Linked DNA regions of Elephas maximus indicus. The protein of the gene in region 3 interacts with the protein of the main gene of each other region in a pairwise test. Links are inferred from orthologs where the notes say so. Each region holds a gene or a part of one and is shown on either strand. Other genes may lie near its edges.

Evidence for each region.
Region 1: the proteins of DTX2 (region 3) and EIF4ENIF1 interact in binary tests that used the Homo sapiens proteins (3 or more experiments, as listed by UniProt). The two-hybrid records come from large-scale screens. The link is inferred for Elephas maximus indicus from reciprocal best matches to the Homo sapiens genes DTX2 and EIF4ENIF1.
Region 2: the proteins of DTX2 (region 3) and STX12 interact in binary tests that used the Homo sapiens proteins (3 or more experiments, as listed by UniProt). The two-hybrid records come from large-scale screens. The link is inferred for Elephas maximus indicus from reciprocal best matches to the Homo sapiens genes DTX2 and STX12.

Annotation. Positions count from the first base shown.
Region 1 is NC_064840.1:24,716,444-24,723,921, forward strand, and holds the start of EIF4ENIF1 (eukaryotic translation initiation factor 4E transporter), read left to right. Parts: upstream 1-4,318; 5' UTR 4,319-4,415; intron 4,416-4,610; exon of another isoform or gene 4,611-4,702; intron 4,703-5,372; 5' UTR 5,373-5,399; coding exon 5,400-5,495; intron 5,496-7,478. UniProt on the Homo sapiens protein: EIF4E-binding protein that regulates translation and stability of mRNAs in processing bodies (P-bodies). Plays a key role in P-bodies to coordinate the storage of translationally inactive mRNAs in the cytoplasm and prevent their degradation.
Region 2 is NC_064821.1:68,157,995-68,165,964, forward strand, and holds the start of STX12 (syntaxin-12), read left to right. Parts: upstream 1-4,810; 5' UTR 4,811-4,926; coding exon 4,927-5,044; intron 5,045-7,970. UniProt on the Homo sapiens protein: SNARE promoting fusion of transport vesicles with target membranes. Together with SNARE STX6, promotes movement of vesicles from endosomes to the cell membrane, and may therefore function in the endocytic recycling pathway.
Region 3 is NC_064830.1:94,110,113-94,118,246, forward strand, and holds the start of DTX2 (probable E3 ubiquitin-protein ligase DTX2), read right to left. Parts: upstream 3,044-8,134; 5' UTR 2,909-3,043; intron 2,647-2,908; exon of another isoform or gene 2,517-2,646; intron 1,307-2,516; exon of another isoform or gene 1,222-1,306; intron 1-1,221. UniProt on the Homo sapiens protein: Regulator of Notch signaling, a signaling pathway involved in cell-cell communications that regulates a broad spectrum of cell-fate determinations.

The DNA.
Region 1 (7,478 bases), on a different chromosome or scaffold from region 3:
AGGTCGGCAGTTCGAATCCACCAGGCGCTCCTTGGAAACTATGGGGGCAGTTCTACTCCGTCCTGTAGGGTCGCTATGAGTCGGAATGGACTCGAAGGCAGTGGGTGGGTAATCGTTCGGGATGTAAATACGTTCTTTAATTTGGGTCTGCTTTGATAATCTAAGGGATGATGGACGTAGGTGGGACATTTTGATAAACATCATTTTGAAAGAACGTGGCATTTCTGGTGGAGAGAGCAAAGTCTACCGTTATGCATCAGAATGCTTGAGAGACTATGTTAAAAACAGATGAGGCAATATAATTGTTGGGTATCGGGATTAGAATCTCAGGTAATTCGTTCTTTTGCTCTATCTTCTACGTATATTAATCTTTGTAATTTAAAAGGAAGTGTTTAAATGGAGACTTTAGGGAGCCATCTTTTTAGGGAGGATTCTTATCAGGAATTACATGGCCAAGTAGAGTTTTAAAATTTAATTTGGTTTCAAAGTCCTCCTTATCAACACTGTAAAGTTAGTTTTTCTTATATGCTCTTTTATACAAATCACAGTTATATAAGTTATACAATAACATATCCCAGAAAACAAAAAACCCATATTAGTTATGTAATTTGGGATAATCAACAAGCATGCTTTCTAGGTGATTTTAGCTGATTTGCTGATACTTTCTTCCTGTTATGAGCATTCACCACCCTCAGCTTTGACTCATTTAGGAAGGAATGAAAGACATTTCCCCATAAGTTATAATGAAAATAGTCCTGCCAGGAAAGATTAGAAGATAGGAAGATAGTTTATAATAACAATCGCTAGTACAGCAGCACTTACTTGGTGTCAGACTTTGTATTAAGTACTTCTCTATATATAAAATCAAAGATGAAGGTGCCAGAAGGGGTCTAGTTTCCGCCAATAAATTTGCTGTGTAATCTTCCAGAAGTCCTTTAGTAAATTCTAATGTCTTTTCAGTCCATACTCTGAGGCTATAATTCCACAGCTGGCTTCTTCAAACAGGAATTATCCTTAGAGCAAGAAAAACCGAGTAAGAAACAGCCAATTTAGAGAAGCTCAGGACAGTTGAGGTGTTAGCTTTGCGAAATGAAATGAGGGTGCTGAGGGTAATGGCCCAGCGTTAAGCACTCTCACAGGTGCTCTTGTAATTTCTAAGTTTCCGATATTTTAATTTGCTTCTCTAATGGGCTGCTCATTTCCCCCAAATGACTGAACCTTTGAGTCCCCTTATGCCAATCGTTGAACTAACAATTCAAACCTAAGTCAGTATCTTAACACATGTTTAGTACAGAACCAGGATAAATCATCTCTCTGTTCCTCTTACCCTTTCAGAAGGATTTCATCATACTGTAATTTGAAAATTGATTATTAGTTGCAAAAGGCAGCATTTAGAATTACAAATTATCCCTGCCAAGAATAACATTCAATAGCTACAATGAAACAAGGATTTGCAAGCATCTACCTTTTGCATGGTGCACAGGTAAAAGTTTATAGATGGACTCCCTTAGTAAATTATCACATTTATTCCGAGGTGATAATTGCTTTTTTTTTTTTTTACAACGATAGAGATTTTGAGAGGTAAGTGAGATGAGGCCAGAGTCCTACAGGCATAAAGAAGAGACTGGTGGAAGAGCAGGTCTTAGCTAGCATAGACCCCAAATCAAACTCATTGCTATCGAGTCAGTTCCAACTCATAGCGACCCTATAGGGCAGTAGAACTGCCCCGTAAGGTGTCAAAAGCTGTAGTTTTTACAGAAGCAGACTGCGGGTCGGTCGGTGTCTTTCTCCCGAGGAGCAGCTGGTGGGGTCAAACTGATGACCTTTCGGATAGCAGCCAAGCACTTTAACCACTGCACTGCCAGGGCTCTTGTGAATACAGACACACACACGTGCCTGCAGTGCAGGAAATTATCTCCAGCCAGACCAGAATCATAGCTGTGATGCGCTGCAAACTTATTTCATTCATGATTTGTGGTAGTTTTAAAACAGGTGCACAAATTCTTTGAATTTAATTCTACTCCCCTTAAATATAGGCCAGTCTTAGCGATTCCCATCTAAGGAAGAGAATGTGCCATGTGACAGAACTGACACTTAGTGACTTTCAAGGCTAGGTTAGAAAAGGCAGTACAGCATCTGGCTCTCTCCTCTCTGGACACTTGCCCTTTGAATGCAGCCATCAGCTTGTGTCACAATGGAGTGGCCATATCTAGTGTTCCAGCCAATAGCCCCCATGGTCCCATCTGAAAGCCAAAGCATGTAAGCGAGCCATCACATGAATCTAGCTTCGAGCGTTTGAGCTGCCACATCTGAACCCTGCCCAGATTGCATTCATGAGCAAAATAAATGGTGGTTTAAGTCACTAAATTTTCGGGGGTGGTTTGTTATACAACAATAGATAACTGAAACAATGTTTGTAACATGTTATCTTAATTTCCTCTACAAGCCTAAAAGCAGGTATGGTCATCCCTGTTTGACAGATGAGAAAACCAAATTCCAGAGGGGTGAAACGACTGAGGTTTCACACTGAACTAATAAGTAGCAGAGCCAGGATTTAATAGCTCAAAGAATGGGCCTTCTCCACTACTTCATAATGGCAAGGGGATTAGACCCGTTTCTTCTACCTTTAGGAAGAACCTGGATTCCAAAGCAGGCTTGATTTGTAATGAATAAAAAAGACCATTGTTTGTGCTGTATTGTGTATAAGGTTTAAAAAAAAAAAAAGCTTTATGGAAGTTGTATAAGGCTTTTAACTCACCTTATTTAATCTTGACAACTGCCAGGACAGTGGATTATCATCCTCTCAGTTTTATGGATGAGAAAACCAAGGCTGAGAATAAATAAGTTGCCTAACTTTCCCCAAGGAGCCATGGTGGTGCAGTAGTTAAAGCGCTCGGCTGCTAACCAGAAGCAGAAAAGACGTGGCCTTCAGCTTCCATAAAGATTTACAGCCTTGGAAACTGTATGAGGTTTTTGGTTGGTTACTTTCCACTGCCTGTAGGGGGTGGCAGAGCTTGGATGTCTACTTGGAAATGTTTTTCTCTTTTGACTCCGTGAAGAAAATTTGTAGGAAACACATTTTATTAAATATTACAGGAAGAAAAGAAAAACGTTTTCAATATTGTTTCCTCTTGCCAAGTCTCACAGGTTGTTACAAACTGTCAGAGAGGAAAAGATGAGTGGTAACTCATCTCATACTCCAATCCCGATTTCACAAGTGAAGAAAGTGAAGCTCAAAGAAAATAGGCCCCTTCAAAGAAATGAAGGCTTCGTTGCCCTTTCACGTGAAAAATCACATTTCCCTCCACGCCTATGCATCATCTCATATTATATTGCTGTAGGCCAGGCTCAGATGTGACCTCGTCTGTCAAACCTCTGACCACTCCTTCCCAGCAAGGCAGTTGCTTGCACTGCTCCAAATAGGGAACTTCTATTTCAATTTCTGTGCCCCGTCAGCCTAAGTCTCGGCAACACGTGCTGAGCACTTGACCTTCACCGTCTCATTTTCCCCAAACCACACTTGCACTTCCTCTCCCTGTGCAGGTTATGGGTGGGAAAATATATTTCAAAAAAATTGTCAGTCGCCCTTATCTCGATCAAAATCAGTCGTAGCAAATTTGGTTATTAATGCAGCAACGCGTGATCTCCCCAAATCCTCTTTATAAAGAGGTCATTTTCAGAAAAGAGAAAAGTGAAGCTCGGATAAGTCAGAGCTTTGCGCAAATCACACCACTAGTATTAAAAAGACCAGAGGTTCGAGCTCGGGCATGGAAGATCCCCAAACCCCCGAATTCGTCTAACTCAGATGCCCACTGCCGAAGCCTCAGGTCCTCCGCCCAGACGAGCGTGCTAACGAGGGGCGGCCGCGCCAGGCTGCACCGGGCCCACCTCGCGGCCACCGCCGTCCGGGGACACCAGGCGGCTGGCATCGCAGGCCCCGCGCCGCCCCCCCCGCGCGTGGGAACACGGCTGGCTGGCTGGGGCTGCCCGCGGCGACCGCCTGCGCGCCCGGAGGGGGGCTGCCGCCCCGCCGCCCCGCCGCCCCGCCGCCCCGCCGCCCCGCCGCCGCCGCCCAGGCGCCCCGTCCCTGCCGGCGGCCCGCTCGAGGCCCGGCGCCCAGGAGCGCGCCGCGACCCGCTGTTTTCCGCCCGGCAGCGTGGCGGCCACCTCACATCCGGGCGCGACGGCGGCGCCGGGCCCGGGCGTGGAGGGAGTTACTAAGGGGGAGGGGGACGGGGCGGGGGGCGGAGGGCGGAGGGCGGAGGGCCGGGCCGCGGTTACGGCGGCTGAGGAGAGACAGCCCGGGCGGGTGGGGGGGCCGAGCCGAGGCCGCGGGCGCAGCGCTCAGACCCGCGCGGGCGGTGGGGCAGGAAGCGGCGGCCGGCCGGAGGGCCGCCGAGCGACGGAGGAGCCGAGTAAGGGCCGGCGGCGGTCCCGGGGCGCGCGCTCGGCCCACCGGGGGAAGGACGCGGGCGCGCCGCTCCCGGGGTCGCGTGCATGAGCTCGGGCGCCGGGACGCGCGCGGGGGGCGGGCAGGGGCGCGAGGCCAAGCCGGGCGGCCGGCGGGCAGCGGGCGGGCTGGCGGGGCCCGAGCCGCCGGGCCGGGCCGGGGCGGACGGCGGCGGGCCTGCGCCGGCTCCAGCTTGGAGCGCCCAGGCCGGGGTACTCGGCCTCCCCGCTCCCTTCGGCCCGCCTCCTCTCCGTGAGTACCGTCCTCGCCTTTCCTCCGGAGGAGGCCACCCGGCCGGGGCCTAAGCCAAGGAACAGGGGTTGGGGGGTCGCGGCCCGGGAAATCGACGCTTGTCCCTTCTCTGCTCTGGGCGCCCCTGACATGGCCACAGGTGCGGCCGGCCCCGGCGAGGGGCGCTCGGGCCCTGTCCCCAGTCCCTGGTTGTCGGCTTATAAAGGGCAGCTGGCGCCGTCCATTGGCAAGTGACAGGCACTTTACAACAGCCCGAGTTCCCGGATCCCCTGCCTTAGCCAGCCTCCTACCTGCCCCCTCCGGGGTATTTCCCCCACCACCATTCAAATGGTCCCCATGGGTGGCAGCGACTAATCTTGGTTTCTTTTTGTATTGAAGCTGTTTAAAGACTGTACCCTGAGTTGGGCACCTTCTACCTCTGCTTTCCTTACACTGTTGGTGCTTGGGATACTTTACTGGGAGCGGTAACCGAGCACCAGTGGTTCTGTTTCCAAGTGGGTTCTGGTTTATAGCGTAATTGTTGGGTGAGGATATTTTTCTTTTTTTTTAGTGAAGGTTTGCTTTTAAAACCTCCCTTCTTAAGAGATAAAAAAGTTTCAATTCTTAAATAGTCAAGACTTAAGAAAACATAATATTCTCGGCGACAATTTTGTGCTGGCTTATTTTCCAGGTGCAAAGAATTGTAGACCGAGGAGCCATGGATAGGAGAAGTGTGGGTGAAACAGAAAATGGAGATGCTTTCCTTGACCCGAAGAAGCTGCCGCCCTCCAAATCCCCCCATCGCTATACAAAAGTAGGCTTTGATACTAATGAAATAGTGTTGCTTTGTAGGCCAGGAGGTTAGTAACATTGTGTAGGCATTTATTAGCATCATCTGAAGTGGTAGTGGTCTTATTCCGATCCACTGTACGGACTAAATAATGACTAGGTTTAGTAAAGCATCGCTTTGAACATTTTCCTGGAATTATGACTACCAAGAGTTTTAAAAAATTGCTTCTAAGTAGCTTTCAGGTGAAGGGAACATGAGTTCAGATCTCATATGAATTTATGGATTCCTATACTTTGCGGCAGTGGGTATACTTTGTCAGGAAACCCTGGTGGCATAGTGGTTAACCACTACAGCTGCTAACCAACGGGTTGGCAGTTCAAATCCGCCAGGCGCACCTTGGAAACTCTATGGGGCAGTTCTGCTGTTGCTATGAGTTGGAATTGACTTGACGGCACTGGGTTTGGTTTGGTTTTTTGGTTATACTTTGTCAGGAAACCCTGGTGGCATAGTGGCTGAGTGCTACAGCTGCTAACCAAAGGGTCGACAGTTCGAATCTGCCAGGTGCTCCAGGGAAACGCTGTGGGGCAGGTCTATTCTGTTCTATAGGGTCGCTATGAGTCAGAATCGACTTGATGGCAACGGGTGGTGGTGGTATACTTTGTCACGCAAGTTCTGTAATTCATCTGTGTAACTAGTATGATTCTTACTTGTATGGTGAGAATCCCAGCTCTAATGCCTCCCCAAATCAGTGTTCTCTGTGTTGATGTTTCCTTGAGAGTTGACCTCCCCAAAGAAATGCTCTTTAGTGTGCTTGGCCAGGGTAACCAGATTTCTAAGTTCTGCTAATTTTACTTCCTGTTACAAATTGGTTATGGACTGATAAAACTGACTTCAATCCTATTTCCCCTAGCTAAAAACTTGGGGTGACTTTAAAAAACTGCATGCCTAGACATCTGCTTTTTCCAGGAGGGAAAGAAAACATTAAGGTGCGATATTTATTGACAGTGTTGTTTCACTATCTCATTGGCTACTGAATGTTTTTAAAGAGGATGAAAAGACACAGTGAAGCTGTGACTTCATTTCTGGGTCCCTGTCATGGGCTGGAGTCCATAAAATGTGCTGACAAGTGTTAGAGCAGATGGGACCGTTGATGGGAAGGATGTTCTTTTCGGGTCTAGATCTGTGATGTTTCCTTAGCATGGACTCATTTGTGGACTCTTAACATGGCTTATTGTCCCTGGCTTCCAAGGATACTCCTTGGTTACTGTTTTAAGGCCAGACCTGTTTGTGTACCAGTGCCACTATTATCTATTGAAGAAAATATCAAATGACTGTCAGAGTAATACTCGTTTTTAACATTAAAACAAAAAAAACTGGGCCCATCCATGTTAAAAAGTGTTTTGGGATATAAAACATTTCCTGGTTAATAGCTGCCTTAGCACAATCTGTTTTGGCATAACAGAATTTGAGTTAAAATATCCTTTTAGAAAGCTTTTAAAATTCCGTTTTAGTCCTGCATTCAGATTTGTTCTTTCAAATGTAATTTCAAACCTGAGTGCTTGAGTAGTGTTTCAGAACTTAAGTTCATTACCTAAAATGTTGCCAGGTGAATTCTGAATGGGGAAAAGCTTATCAGATGAAGAGAAACTGGTTTAAATTGCTTTTATAAGCTTAGGTGGTTTCACATCTCACAGCTCTTTTTGAATTGATGTTCTGACTGGTAGTGAACTCCCGAAGTCTAGGCAGACAGTTTCCTGAATCACTTTCACACGGTGAGCTGAGAATGGCAAGTATATTTTATCTTCACGTATATTTCCATGTTCCTGCATAAGTCTGTTTTGGGAAGATATTGGTCTCTCTTAGGTTAGAACTTAATGCGTGCCCCCAGCAAAGATTAAGAAGCTCAGTATTGCCCATTTTTGAGTCTGACCTTCAAATTCTGCCATACTTAGGTAAATGTGCCTTAAAAAAATACTGCAGAAAAACATTTTCTAGATTAATGATAGT
Region 2 (7,970 bases), on a different chromosome or scaffold from region 3:
TGACCTAGATGTCCCCTGAAACCATGGTCCCCAAACCCCCGCCCCTGCTACGCTGGCCTTCGAAGTGTTCAGTTTATTCAGGAAACTGCTTTTGGTTTAGTCCAGTTGCCTAAGACATTTTTTAAATGCTGCTATGAGCGTTCTTATACCTGGTTTTTGGAACACATATGTATGGATTTCTGTTGCATATATAATTAGAAGTAGACTTTCTGGGTCATAGGTTATGTATGAGTCCTGGCTCTGCCACTTAACAACTGTATGACCTTGGGCAAATACCCATAATCTCTAGAGAATACCAGTTTCCTTGTCTGTACCAAGGAGCTAATCTTGCCTTCCTGAGTGTCAACTTGAAAAACTGTTTTTGTTAATTAACACAAGGACAGAGTGCTGAGAAACCTTATTTTCTAAAATCAGATTTTCAGAAAATTTGCTGTTGGAAATTATATAAGAATGGAACATTCTACTCTTGCTTTGAGAACCTGGGTTACTTTGACAGAGAGAAGCAGTTTCAATTTCCAACCCAGGTGCAGAGCTTCAGATAAGGGATTTCCAGATACAACATTCCACATTTATCTTCACATTGTAGTTTCCAAGGAAACAGGATTCCCAAGCCTTTGAGTTAGTTCAGGCCTGATGTCAATCCTATTATACATAGCCTGGGTGTGCTTTGAGGCTATCAAAATACTGCTTCTTTTACGTTTTACCTACCCTCCATCTTTCCCTCAAAGCCTAGAATAACTAACTCTGTCTCTTCCTGTGCTTGATGAGATGTTCCAGGATCCACTTGTTTTACAGTCTCCCTGGCTGCAGCAAGTTAATAAGCTTAATTTTGTCAGACCACAGATGGTCTTTACCTTGGGGATTAGCAATAATGTATGTAAAATGTGTGCACATTGCTTGGCGCCTAATAGGTATTTAAGAAATGGTAGTTATTTTTATTATTTATGTATGAGTTCAATAAATATTTGGCATGTATAAGGCACAAATTTACTGCTATGAAAGATGAACAGATGGAAACTACTTTTATTTCAAATGGAGGAAAAAAACAACTGTAACTTCAATTCCTAGGCGATAAATACCTTTACTGAACTTTACTTTGTTGTTGTTAGGTGCCGTGGAGTCAATTCCGACTCACAGCGACACTATGTACAACAGAAGGAAGACTGCCTAACCCTGCGCCATCCTCATGGTCGTTATGTTTGAGCCCATTGTTGCAGCTACTGTGTCAATTCATCTTGTTGAGGGTCTTCTGCTTTTTCGACGACCCTCTACTTTACCCTTCTCCAGGGACTAATCCCTCCTGATAACACATCCAAAGTATGTAAGACAAAGTCTTGTCATCCTTGCTTCTAAGGAGCATTCTGGCTGTACTCCTTCCGAGACAGACTTGTTTGTTCTTTTGGCAGTCCGTGGTATATTCAACATCCTTTGCCAAACCACAATTCAAAGGCATGGATTCTTCTCTGGTCTCCCTTATTCATCGTCCAGCTTTCGCATGCATATGAGGTGATTGAAAACACCATGCTTTGGGTCAGGAGCACCTTAGTCCTCAAAATGACATCTTTGCTTTTTTAACACTTGAAAGAGGTCTTTTGCAGCAGATTTATCCAGTGCAGTGATGTGTTGTTTGATTTCTTGAGTGCTGCTTCCAAGGCTGTTGATGGTGTATCCAAGTAAAATGAAATCCTTAGCAACGCCAATCTTTTCTCCATTTATCGTGATGCTGCTTATTGTTCAATTGTGAGGATTTTTGTTTTCTTTATATTGAGGTGTAAGTCATACTGAACACTGTAGTCTTTGATCTTCATCAGTAAGTACTTCAAGTCCTCTTCACTTTCAGCAAGCAAGGTTGTGTCATCTGCATAATGCAGGTTGTTAATGAGTCTCCAATCCTGATGCCCTGTTCCTCTTCATATAGTCCAGCTTCTTGGATTATTTGCTCAGCATACAGATTGAATAGGTATGGTGAAGGAATACAACCCTGATGCACACCTTTCCTGACTTTAAACCACACAGTATCCCCTTGTTCTGCTCCAAAGGCTGCCTCTTGGTCTATGTACAGGTTCCTCATGAGCACAATTAAGTGTTCTGGAATTCCCATTCTTTGCAACGTTATACATAATTTGTTATGATTCACACAGTCAAATGCCTTTGCATAGTCAATAAAACACAGGTAAACATCTTTCCAGTATTCTCTGCTTTCAGCCATGATCCATCTGACATCAGCAATGATACCCCTGGTTCCACGTCCTCTTCTGAATCTGGCTTGAATTTCTGGCAGTTCCCTGTTGATGTACTGCTGCAGCTGCTTTTGAATGATCTTCAGCAAAATTTTACTTGCATGTGATATTAATGATACTGTTCCATAATTTCTGCATTGGGTTGGATCATCTTTCTTGGCAATAGGCGTAAATATGGATCTCTTCCAGTTGGATGGCCAGGTAGCTGTCTTCCAAATTTCTTGAGATAGACAAGTGAGCACTTCCAGTGCTGCATCCGTTTGTTGAAACATCTCTGTTGGTATTCTGTCAATTCCTGGAGCCTTGTTTTTCACCAACGTCTTCAGTGCAGTTTGGACTTCTTCCTTCACTACCATCGGTTCTTGATCATATACCACCTCCTGAAATGATGAACGGCGACTAATTCTTTTTGGTACAGTGACTGTGTGTATTCCTTTCTTGTTCTTTTGATGGTTCCTGCATAGTTCAGTATTTTGCCCATAGAATCCTTCAATGCTGCAACTTGAGGCTTTAGTTTTTTCTTCGGTTCTTTCAGCTTGAGAAATGTCAAGCATGTTCTTCTCTTTTGGTCTTTGCACATGTCATTATAATACCTTACTTTGTCTTCTTGAGCTGCTCGTTAAAATCTCTTCAGTTCTTTGACTTCATCATTTCTTCCATTCACTTTAGCTACTCGATGTTCAAGAACAAGTTTCAGAGTCTTTTCTGATATCCATTTTGGTCTTTTCTTTCTTTCCTGTCTTTTCAGTGACCTCTTGCTTTCTTCATGCATGATGTCCCTGATGTCATGCCACAACTCGTCTGGTCTTTGGTCATTAGTGTTCAGTGCATCAAATCTATTCTTGAGATGCTCTCTAAATTCAGGTGGGATATACTCAAGGTGTATACGTTGACTCTCATGGACTTGTTCCAATTTTCTTCAGCTTCAGCTTAACTTGCATATGAACAATTGATGGTCTGTTCAGCAGTTGGCCCCTGGCCTTCTTCTGAGTGATGATATTGAGCTTTTCTGTCATCTCTTTCCACAGGTGTAGTTGATTTGATTCCTGTGTATTCCATCAGGCGGAGTCCACGTATATAGTCGCTGTTTATGTTGTTGAAAAAAGGTATTTGCAATGAAGAAGTCATTGGTCTTGCAAAATTCTATCATGTGATCTCTGGTATCATTTCCATTATTAAGATAGTACTTTTCAACTTTACTTTATACAGTGTCAAATGTAATGAAAATGTAAATGAAAACATCCTCAACAGTATTTTATGAGTAAAACGTACAATTTATATAATTTTCTGTAAGACTTGACATGAAACTATGGATTGTAAGAAATGACAGGGTTTTAATAAAACAAGAGCCCCAAATGTCATGTCCTTTTCTATGAAGAAAGAAATGTTCTCATAAATGCACTAAAGAAAAAGAGAGTCTTGCTTATAATAGCTCTGAGCCTGAATGCAGGCTCATTTACCCATTTGGGGCCCCTTCCCACATATGTAAACACAGGGAAGCAGCTTCCTCTTTCTCTGCCGTTCCCCACAGACTGCACAGCAACCTAGGGCAGGGCTGCTGGAGAACACAGGAAAGCACACTACCAGCTCCCCTTCACTCCTCCAGTGTCTTGACTCCCTCCCAAATCAAAATCCTACCCATGCCTTTCCTTTCACTGACAAAATGCAGTCTTACTGGAACATTGAGGTCTTATTCTCCAAATTACTTAAGGGAATGATTTTTACATTTTGGGACTATAGTTCTCCAAGAAATCCCCGTCTGGGATACAGATGAAGAGGCTATTTGGGAGGGGTTTACATGGAGAATGAATTTGAGAATAAGGGGATAAACTTTAGGGCAATAGGTGATGATGGAGTTAGCTTAGTGTACAGATTTTGCAGTCAAACTTCAGTAAAGAGAATCTCTATGATCTTAATTTTCTCATCTGTAAAAAGGAAAATAATAATGCTTAGTTTGCCTGGTTACTTCAAGATTTTAAAAAATTTGTCCATTATCTATTCTGAAGATTAAAAATATAGATAGAACATCGTGACTTGCCGTGAAAAAACTTATCAACAAGTGAATTGCAGTGAGGATTCACACATAGTAGATGCTCAATAAATATTATTTTATTGTTTGGAATTACAAGAGGGGTGGAGGGAAAAATGAAAATCGTTTGTGAACCGTGAAAGTGCCCCGCAAATACTACCAAAGCCCTAGAGTTCAGAAGTGGAGCGAGCAATTTCAGGGGCTTGGTTTCGAGGTTATCGAATTTTCCCATATTTGGGCCTGAATTCTCAGAATAGAACATAAAAGGATGTCAGGGCTGAGATCATCTGGTACAATTTTATGCAAATCGAAAATTCTTGCCGCCTGTCACTGTGTCTTTGCAAGAAACAACACCGCCACCCAAGTAGCCGAGTCCCAATTATGTGACGTCAGGAGCCCGCATCCCCAAGTTTCCGCGCGTCTAGTCTAAACTCTCCCCAGGCTTTGGTTTCAGCGGCGCCCGCGCGCTGCGGGGCGGGGCGGGGCGGGGCAGGGCGGACGCGTGCGCGCTGCATGGGGGCGGAGCTAGTGCGCACGCAGCTTCAGCCCCTTCCACGCCCTTTCTGTGCCCGGTTTCCCCGTCAGGTTGCCGGTCCCGTCTGACAGCTGCTTCCGGTTGGAGCACCGCGCAGGGCGAGCCGGTCTCAGCTCCTTATCATGTCCTACGGCCCCTTACACATGTACCGGAACCCGGGGCCCTCAGGGCCCCCACTCCGGGACTTCAACAGCATCATCCAGACATGCAGCGGCAACATCCAGCGGATCAGCCAAGCCAGTGAGACAGGGGACTGGGCTGGGGGGCGGGGGCCGTCCCGGGACAGGCCTGGTGAGGCTGCCGGGACGCGGAACCCAACCGGCTCTGAGACCAAAGCCACACCTGAGGCTGTCTTGGACTCTCCACGCTGGGGCCGCCGGGCTGCCATCCCCTAATCTGTCAGGCCCGACTCCCCGAGGGTCCCGAGCCGCTGCTGAAGCTCGAGTTTCTTCTCAGGAGTTCTGTCGCCACGGTGCTGAGGCCTCAACAGCACAGCTAACAGCCCTAGGGTGGGGGTGTGTGTGTGTGTCCTGGAGAGCAGTGAATGCGTGGACTTGGCGCAGTGGTCAGCCGAGTTTTTCCTGTCACCCGCTTTCCCCCTACCCACCTCGCTTTCTTCTTGGGCCAGTTTGGATCGGAGGTTGTTTACTGATTTAGGCTTTAGGTTTACATTCTGCTCAGCCACTGGCTCCTAGGAAATCAGCAACTTTCAATTAAAGGAAGTGGAGAGTGTATGTTTTCGGGTGACTTATACATAATTCTTGTAAATGAGTTGAGGGATCAGATGTGATGATTAGTATTTGAGTGAGATGACTTCTGTTTTAATGAAGAGGATTCACCAAAAACGTTTCAATTTACATTATTATTATTTTTTCGTAACAAAGGATTTGGGTATATTTTTGGATTTCAAGCATATGAGGCTTTTGTTCTTCTTAATATTTAGCTACTCTTGAACAAATCTGATGCACAGAGAAGTCCAGGGACTTGGCGACAATCACATAGCAAGTAAGACTTGGTAGGTAGTGGTGAAATTCAGAATGTCATTGTTTGTCCTAAAACTCCCTCCTCACCATTAGGGTCTGAGTGAGGCTGTAGCTGAATGAGTCAAATACAACCTGTATCTTGGGCCTGAAAATCAGCTCAGAGCTTTGTAAACAGGAGGTGGGCAGCAGCAACTTTACTTGGAACAAATGGTGATCATTATCGTCGCTTATGATTGTGTTTTTTTGAGCTTGGCTGTACTCTGTTAATAGGTAGAACTAGTTGGTCCTGTACTACAATTTTGTTCTATATTTTGAAGAATAATCTATCACTTTGCTTTTCAATTTAAATGGTGATTGTGGAACTTGAGAGGCAGAAAGTTTCTGATGGGAAGGGATTGAGACTGGCTGATTTGGAAGTGGAAAGAAGAATATAATCCTGTTAAACCCAGAATTAAAAAAAAAAAAAAAGATTAATATGACCACTGGTTAGAAAGCTCCAATTTTCTCTTGTGAGGGAGCAGTAATGCAGGTTAGATCAGAAAATTCTGGTTCAAGGCAGAAAGCTGTTGTTGAGGCTAAATCGAATTTTAATGTCTGTGTATTTGTGAAATATTCATTCAACATATATTTGTTTGAGTATCAGGCTATATAGAAAATAGAGGAACCGAAACAAAATTCTTTCCCCAGGGAGCCTGTGCAGTTCATAAACAACTGTGAAAATGGCATGGGGGTGGTGTCTGACCTCCCCATCCAACTTCACAAGGCAGGGAGGAGATTCATTGTCAGCATCAACAGCTCACGGCTGATTCATGTAAGGTGGACGTCAGACATAACTCCTCTCCAACTTTTTACCAATTCTGACACCACCCCTCCCATGGCATTTTCTACTTCTCTGCTGAGTTTGATAATTCACTGCAATGGCCATACAGAACTCACAGTTACGGAGTTTATTAGGGAAGTAACAGGTTACAACTGAGGCTGAGGAACGCTCAGGATACAGCTGTTCGATCAGGACAGCCTCTTCTCGGTTGTGCAGCAGGCAGGCCTCTCTCTGGCCCATGGGCTCACCCCCCGGCCCGGGGCCTCTTGGGCTGGCCAGACCTCTGCCCTGCTTGGGCAAGCGTTACAAAGCTCTTTAGCTCTCCTGGTAAGTGCCCGGAGGCAACCAACTCGACTAGTAAGCCTCGGCTGAAGGCGTTCAGCTCTGGCTCCGTGGGTCAGCGAACCTAGCTCTACTGACAAGTGTCCGGAGCCACTCCAACCCACCAGCAAGCCTCTTACCTGAGGGTGCTCAGATTTCTCGCTCAGTGGGTCAACACACCCACAACATAGTCTCCTGCTGGCCTCCTGGTTCTGCTGCCTCTGCTGCCGCTGTTTCTATGCTGCCACCCTCTTCGGTGTTACAGCTCTGTCTCTTGGTCTCCTGGTTCTAGGAGGTTCCCAGTGCAGGGACCCAGCATCCAAAGGACACTCTCTGCTCCTGTCTCTTCTTGGTGGTAGTCAGATTCCCCCTCTGCTCTGGAATTGGCTCTCTTTTAAGCTTAGCAGGGTGGCAAAACTGACCAATCCCCTCATTAGTGTCCATACACCTTATTTGCATGGTCCTACCCAATCATTGGAGCCCTGGTGGTGCAGTGGTTAAGAGTTCGGCTGCTAACCAAAAGGTTAGCAGTTCAAATCCACCAGCTCTTCCTTGGAAACTCTATACTGGAGTTCTACTCTGTCCTAAAGAGTCACTATGAGTTAGAGTCAAGTCAATGGCAGTAGATTGGGGACCCAATCATTGTGTGGGAGTCACAAAGACTATGGCTAGAAGGGCCATATTAAGTACTTCACTGCACCACAACAACCAAAATGTAAGGTTGAAAGGAATCAGTGCTATAGAAGAGGTACAAATAACATTATGTGGGTATTCAGGAGAGGGAGACCATTTTCACTTGAGAGGAATCAGGGAAGGCATTTGAGCTTGGTTGGAAAGATGGTGGTAAGGGTTTGGATTTTTGAAGGTAAAGAGGAAAGAGTATTCCAGAAAGAGGGAATAAAATGAGGAACAGCATGGTAGTGGGAAGGCAGGGGGTGTATATAGAAAAGCAGAATAATTCAATATGGCTAGAGTGATGGACTCAGGAAAGCAGTGGAAAATAGGGTTGGAAAGATGAGTTGGGGCCCAAACATGAAAGGCT
Region 3 (8,134 bases):
CTCCAAAAGCATTTAAGTGATAACTTTCTCCCCCATATACTTCCAGCATTTCCCCACCTCCACGTCTCTGCTTTACCCAGAATCCCATCTACTTAACAACCCAGCCTCAACTTACCTATACTTTCAAAACCCAATTTAAACAGCACCTTGATGAGTGCAACAGAAAGTAGCTACCCCCTTAAAACTTGCACAGCACTGTCTTTCCTCTACATTTCTCCATTTTATCTCTTCAACTAGCCTATAGCAACCTGAGGGTAAAACCTCACGTCTACCTCCCACTACCAGAAGCTGGCATGGTATAAGGAGATAGTCAAGAAGATAGGTGAAAGAATGGCAAAAGGAATCACAAGGCTTAAAAGCAAAGAGATTAATCTAATCCAATGTATGCCACACTTTCCAGCCAGGGTGCTCTTTTAAAACGCCCATCGTGTTCTGCTCAAAATCCTTTCGCTCCCCAGAGCAATGGCATGGCTTACAAAACCCTCCATATTCAGCCCCCTGCCTCCCTTTCCAGCTTCCTGTGCCCTGCACCCACCCTTTGTTGTTCCAGCCACACTGCACTTCTTACAGTGCCTGTGTCTAACAATTTCACGACTTCGTCTACCCCGAAGCCCAGCCACGCTGTTTCTCCACACTTCCAAAATCCTACTGCCCCTTCCCAACCCACCTCAGCTATCAGCCCCTACAGTAAGTCTTCCTGGCTCTCTCTTCTCCCTCTTCCCTTCCTGGATCAATCTGAGGCCTCTGCCTGGTGCTTCCCCTGCACCTCAACAGGTATCACACTGACAACACTGTTGTGGCTGTCGTTTGTCTATCTCTTCCACCCAACAATGAGCTCCCACAGGGCAGAGATCTTGTTTCTCATCATTGTACCCCCAGCACTGAGAACATGGCTTGATAGAAAGGAGGCACCCACTAAAGGTTATGTGACAAAGAAAATTTTCCAGTTCAAATATAGAAATCGTGATTCCGTCCTTCATCCCATTAAGTATGTCTTAAAGTGGAAATCATGTGGAAAGCATCCTCTAAGACTGGCTAAACTGGAGAAGCAATTAGCAAGAAGCCACTTTAATTTATCTGAGTCAGCTGGCAATCAACAATCAACTTCCCAAGGCTCACTTTTCATCCTGGAGCCCTCAAATTCCACCCTCTTCAGTCCCTACCTTCTCTGTTGAAAATGAAATTGTGAAGGCAGCAAAATGAAGTCGCCATGGCTCTCACCTTTTCTCTAAGGAGAGCTGGCACAAACTCCCTTCTTGATGGAGACACCAGATCGTTAGCAGGAATAACTTGTTTGAGTTCCCATCTTGATATAAAAAGCAAACAACAAAAAACAGGCAAATGTGAAAGGCTTGCTGACTCTGCGACACACATTCCAAGGCACCTTTGCCGGTAAGAAAGGAGAGATCAGGTTTTAAATTGAGAAACAGCAGTTAGTGAAAACGAACGCACAGATGCTGGATCCGTGTGCTGCAGCTCGGGAAAAGGACAAACCATCAGATTTCCCAACTCAGCCTGGGCAGAGCAAGAAGGTACAGTAGTCTCCCTCCACCCACTCAACAGTCAAGGGCATAGTTCAATACACACACACACACACACACGCTTTTATACCTGCTTGTATCCAACCAAAAAAAAAAAAAAAAAAACTGTTGCCATCGAGTCGATTCCAACTCACAGCGACCCTACACAACAGAGGAGAACTGCCCCATAGTTTCCAAGGAGTGCCTGGTGAACTCAAACTGATGACTTTTTGGTTAGCAGCCGTAGCTCTTAACCACTACACCACCAGGGTTTCTGAGCCCTTGAATAAACGAGGACCAAACCCACTGCCGTCGAGTTGATTCCGATTCATAGCGACCCTACCTACAGGACAGAGTAGAACTGCCTTACAGAGTTTCCAAGGAGCACCTGGTAGATTCAAACTGCAGACCTTTTGGTTAGCAGGCGTAGCTTTTAACCACTACGCCACCAGGGTTTCCAGCCCTTGCTTAGAAGGCCTAAAAGGATTTCATAACCCCGTCTACAGTGCAGACATCCAGGAAGTCAACACACCAGATGGTAAAAGTTTGGCCATGGTCACAAAGCAAATGAATAAGAGGCTTACTTAACCTGATGGCTCAAGTAAGGCCTGATTTTGGCTACCAGAAATTCTACTTTCCAGAATTCTAGAGGGGCTAGGATAGCATGCAGAAATATTTTGAGTTTTCTTTTAATTCATGGTCCAAGAGTCTGTACACACCCTATGTCTACAGCTGTGGGCGCTAAGGGAAGTGGAACCTGTGTGGAAGGCAGCAGCAGACAGAGAAAGGAAGGATGAAAAAGAATAGCTCCAGAAAAAGGAAGAGTCTTTTAAATCCTCTTCAGCATAGTTTACAGATCACCCAAAAGCGACCAGGAAACAGCTTCCGGGAAAGAGAACCCCACTTGAGAGGAGGGAAACTGAGTTACGAAGTAAAGTCTTCCAAAGCACAACCCCGGGTCCCAGTTAGTCCTTCACCTGGCGGCAGACCTCATACCCTAATCAGGTAGCCCGGTGGCAATGCCACCACCTCCTCCAGGTCCTAGCGGAAAAGGGCGCACGTCTCCCGACGGACTCCAACTCTTAGGGTCTGTGCCCCTCCCCCTGCAGCCTTTCAGCTTCTAACTAAGCGTTCACCCTCCTCCCCGGCACCCAGTCCTGTCCTAAGCCCCTAGCGCCTCCCAGTTCCCCCAACTTCCGCCTCTGGGACCCCCAGCCCGGAGGCCAGTCCTCCCAGCCCCAGACCCTCACCCCCAGGGCTCCGGGACCCCAGCACAGCCCTTCCTCACTCCCACGCCTCCCCCTTCCGGTCCCAGCTCGGCTCAGTCTCCCCCCGCCCCTGGGACCCCAACCCAGGCGACGGGCAGACGACCTGCCCGTCCCTCTCACCAAAGCTGAGGCGGGAGAGGAGGACAGGTTGAGGGGAACGCTGGCGCTCGCGCTGGGACTCCGGCTTCACCTGGGCAGCACTCCAGTTAAGGATCCGACTCTGAGGAGACAGCTAGAGTGAAACTCGGCGTCGCAGCTTCCGAGCGCTCTGTACGCATGCCCACGACGCGCGGTCTTCTGGGAAATGTAGTTCCGGCGGGACAGCGGGCACAGGGATGAAAGCAATTCGCACCTGTGCAGGTCTAAACTCACTCTTCACCTATTCACTTGTGACTTCTTTAATTCACTGACTCGTTCGAAAGAATTTGTTTTGTTTTTTACCAGTACTATATGATGCCAGGCCCTGTGCTGACTAAAAAAAAAATATTGGAGGTTAAATGGTCAAAGTTCGTTTCTCTCCTGGGAGAACTTCCTATCTTGTTGGAGAGACAGACACTTAAACACACAACTACAATCTAGGGCGATAAATGCTGTGATAAAGAAGTGGAAGCCAGAAAGAGGTGTGCCTAACTTTGGGTGGGGGTTGGTAGTCACGAAGATTCACAAAGGAGATGACCTCTGAGGTGGATTTTGAAGTAGGTGGATTTTGATGTGCAAAGGAAGAGAGATATGAAAGTTCTTGACACATTCAGGAACCAGTGAAAAGTTTCAAAGTTCCCTGTGGCCCTAAGGTAAAAGCAGAGGGCTGGAGAGGAGGGGGAGGAAGGAGACAATGGGTTAAGTGTGGCAGGCTATGAATATGGAGAGAGGGCTGAGTAAGATCATGATGGACTTTAAAAGTCATGCAAGGAATTTGGGCAACTGGAGCCAATGGAAATATTTAATCGGGAATGAAAGGGTCAGCAGTGCAGTTTAGAAAGATGCCCTGTGTGGTAAGCGGAGGATCTATTGGCGAGGAGGAGAAAGGAGGTGGGGAGACCAGAGGCTATTGCCATAGTCCTGACAGAAGATAATAAGGCCTGAAACCAGGCTGGTGGCTTAATCTCTTGAGATCACACACCTCCTTTGAAAAACTAAAGAAAGCGACTCTCAGAAAAAAGCTCAAATGTGAATGTTTACATCCATAGACCATTTCGCAAGCCCTTTCAGGAAACGCAGGGTCTTTGGAATCTTGGGCTGGCTACATGCAGTTAAGTATCTTTACATGACCTAATGTACTCCTACCTTATCAGGAATTTAACACAGATTCAGACTGCTGGAGAAGGAGGAAGAAACCTTGCCTCTCATTCAGCTTAAAAGCTTCATTTTATAAAAGAGGAAACTGAAGCCCAGAAGGGGGGAGTAGCCTGCCCAAGGTTAGTGAAGAAAGAATCTGCAGCAGCCCCAGTCTCTGGTTCCTAGGCCAGGACCTTTTACAGCCTGAGAGCTGCCTTAGAGGACACAGACCTTGGGTCTGGGGAGGCCCCAATGTCAGATTTACACAATTACTCTCAGAGCATAATTCATGGAAAAATGGAGGGTGGCACTCTACCTGTGATTTATACTAGGTACCTGCAGTGTCTATATTAGGACGAAAACTTCTCACTTCCCCTTGGAGAGCCTCAGTTCTCTCAACTGTAACCATCTATAACATTTCTAAAGTACTTAGTATGTACGTGGCATGCATCACCTCATTGAATCCTCTCAATGAAGTAGGTACTATCATTATCGTCCATTATAAAGACTACAGTACCGAGGCACAGGGCTTAAGTAGTGTCTCTAAGATCATACAGTTGGCAACTAGCAGAGCAGTTCTTTAAATCCAGGTAGTATCTAACTCCAGACCTGAGCACCCCAATATGGTTGGCCTCGTGGTGAGCAGGGGTAGCGCAGATGAAATGGTCTGAATCATTAGAAAAGCCTTTCTACACTGAAAAGCTATTTTCTGACGATTTCGTTTTTCCTCAGTAAAATGCTGGAGCAATGGTTATTGCCCAAGAACCCCGCTGCACACACACACACCTACACTCTCAAATAGGCAGAGCAATGGCAGGAGGCTGGGTTGGAAAGTTTCTGGAACCTAGGCTCATGGGGGAAGAACCCTGCTGCCACTGAGATGATCCCATGTGTGCGGACTAGGACTGCACTTCATCAGGTTTTCAAGACTGACCTTTTGGAAGCAGATTTCCAGACCTTTCTCCTGAGGCACCTCTAAGTGGTTTTTGAACTGCCAGCCTTTCAGTTAGAAGTCAAGCTCTTAACTGTTCGCATCCCCAGGGATTCCTGGGGAGGGGAGGGAACTTCAGGTTCAGAGCTGGAGGCTTGATGAGGTCCTCTAGTTGTGGCTGGAGAGGCCAAGACTGGAGACCAATGTGAGAGTCCAGGATAAGGCCCAGGTAGAGAAGTCCCACAGCTCCCATAGAGGCAGGAAGTAGGACACGACCTGGTAGATTGGGTGGATGAGAATACCCTCCCATGAGGCAGAGAACAGAAGAAAAGGACCAGCTCCAGGGAGTTGACAAGTTAAAGAGTGTGAGGTACAGGAGGGGTGGGAGATAACTAGGTATGAGTCTCTAGAAAGATGTGGGCTGGAGATAGGGAATTTGGAGTCACAGGCAGTGAGATGGAGATCACCCAGAGAGACCACAGAGGACAAGAAAAGCTGAGTCTAGGACAAGGCTGAGGAACACTAGCTTTTGAAGAACAAATGAGAGGTAGAGTAGCCTGAGAAGGAAGCTGGAGAGTGGCTGAACTAGTGGACACTGGGTGTGCACAATATCAGAGAAACTAAAGGGAATGTCTCATGAAGGAGGTGGTCAGTGCTGTCACATACACCTGAGAGGCCCAACAAGCTGGTCCCCTGGAAGGGGAGCCTAGGCCACAACATAGAGCTCCTACCTCTGGTCAGGGGTTCTCTCATCTTTTAGTTGGCCAGATGACTTCAAGAAAGGTCCCAAACCTCAGGCTTAGCTACAGGAAGGTTAGCATAGAATGGTTTCTGTTGTACAGTAGAGGCTCAAGCACATGTCTCTGGGTTGTGAAGTTTAGGAATGGAGTCTGGAAGCGTAGCCAGCTCTTCTAACAAAAATCTTTGTGTTTCCTGATGTATTTGGAGGGGGGGGGCAGATGACAGACACATGTGGGTGGAGTGATACAATTTACATAACATTGCCTATGGCTGTTCATGTGCAGATGGTGCCTGGAAGCACACTAGCCAAAAAGGGGCGATGGCAGGTGATTTTTACTTTCTTTGTACTTTTTCTATATCATTTGAGTGTGTCCCAATGAATGGTTTCCATTTTTATAACTGGAAAAGGACTAGCTTTATTTGAGAAAAATAAAGAGTTCTGGTTATAAAAAGAAGCAAAATAGGGCAGCAGCAAGAGGGAGGTTGGGGGGCATGGACTTTGATTTTTCAGGCCAGAGGGAACTGAGCATGTTCTGAGGCTGCTGTAGGATGTTCTTGGGAACCTGGAAATGAGGGAACAAGATTGGCCACTTGAGAACTAAACTTTAACCCAACATACACAGCAAAGGCCCAGAAACAACTTAAATGCCTCACAGAAGGGGGTTGGTTAAATAATCCTGGAACACTAGGTAGCCCTTACAAAGAACAAGGAAGACTCCCAGGTGCTGATCAGGAACAGACTGCCAAGGTCTTTTGTTAAGTGAAAAAAGAACTTTCATAACAGAGGGTAGATTAGAAGGTACACATATTTGTGTTTAAAAGAAAAAATGCACATAGACTTGGAGGCATTGAAAGTTTCTGGTAGGAAACTCAAGACCCTAGGAGAAGTCAGGGGATGGCCTGAGGACTCTTTTTTTTTTTAATTTACTATGTAACCGAACCGAACCCACTGCCATCGATTCCATTCTGACTCAGAGTGACCCTACAGGACAGAGTAGAACTGCCCCATAGACTTTTCAAGGAGCGCCTGGTGGATTCGAACTGCCAACCTTTTGGTCAGTAGCCATAGCACGTAACCGCTACACCACCAGGGTTTCTAATTTACAATGCCCTCATGCTGGAAACCTTGTCCTATAGGGTCGCTATGAGTTGGAATTGACTCAGCAATGGGTCTGGATTTTTTTTTCCATGCTATTTTTTTCTAAAAGAAAATTTTGAGTGCCACAGCACACAGCAGGGCAGGTTAAGCATACTTTGCCTGGAAGTGCTCAGCATAGGTGTGAATGGGAGCAGAAATGTTCCTGGCTGGGGTACTTTGTCCTCAATTGTCTGCCAGGGGTGGGGAGGGGTCTTTTCTTCTGTCTCAAAGGCTTAGGTTTGAGTCACCTATGCATGGATGACTCAAGAAAGAATGTGGCTGTTAGCCATGGAATGGGGAGTGGTTGTGGCCAAGGAAGTTTAGATTAAAAAAATGAACTTTTAAATCCTCTCTAGGTGGCAGAGTTACAGCCTCCAAGGGTTCCAATCCCGGAAGCAGCCCCAGGCTCACCTGGGAGCAAGAAAAGATCAACACACACCTGAGAAAGGGCAAGACGCTGGGGCCAGCACTGCTGATAATGGACTGAGAGCTTTCTGATGTTCTGTTTGGAAAGGCAGAATTTTGTTGCTTAGCACCTCAGCTAATTGGTGTCCATCTGACACTCTGGAGGGATTGGGGCTGATTAAAAGCCACGGCTGCTTTGCTCATTATTCCTGATTAATGGACAGCACCTGGCCACTCTGGGTGAAGGCAAAGACGCCTGCCCAAGACCCAGGTATGGCCTACACAGGTGACAAAGACACGATGGCTGAACAGTCCTAAGGAGTGAAGCCGTCTTCCTTAAAAGCATTGAATTATGTAGGTCCCAGCCCTCGGAATACATTCAGAACTGGCTCGTCCCTTTTTGCTGGTTCTCTTGCTGCAAGGCTGAAATTAGCTGCAAGTTGTGGTCATAGTTAATCCATCTGAGAAGTTTGTTTTAACACTAAGCAACCACACTGAAGCCATGCCCCCCACCGCTCAGTTAGTATTCTCATTGTAAATTAATACTCCAGCATCTTGGCTTGGGATCTATGAATTGCCCAAGAGAAGGGGTCAGTTGTGGGATGTGAGCAAGTCAGGCTTCTGAGCTTAAAGGTTGAGGGCAAGAGGACCCTTGGGAGACACAGCTTTATCTTTCTGATGGTCTCCAACTTGCCCTGAAAACTTCCATTAGCCCACTGGAGACGCTTAGACTCTATTGCTAAAAAAAAAAAAACCTGATAAATCTAACACCTGTCAGGAAATATTGTGAAAGATTTTGAAATGGGCAAAAACGCCTTTCCAGGTGTTAAAAAATATAATCATGTCTTAATTCAAA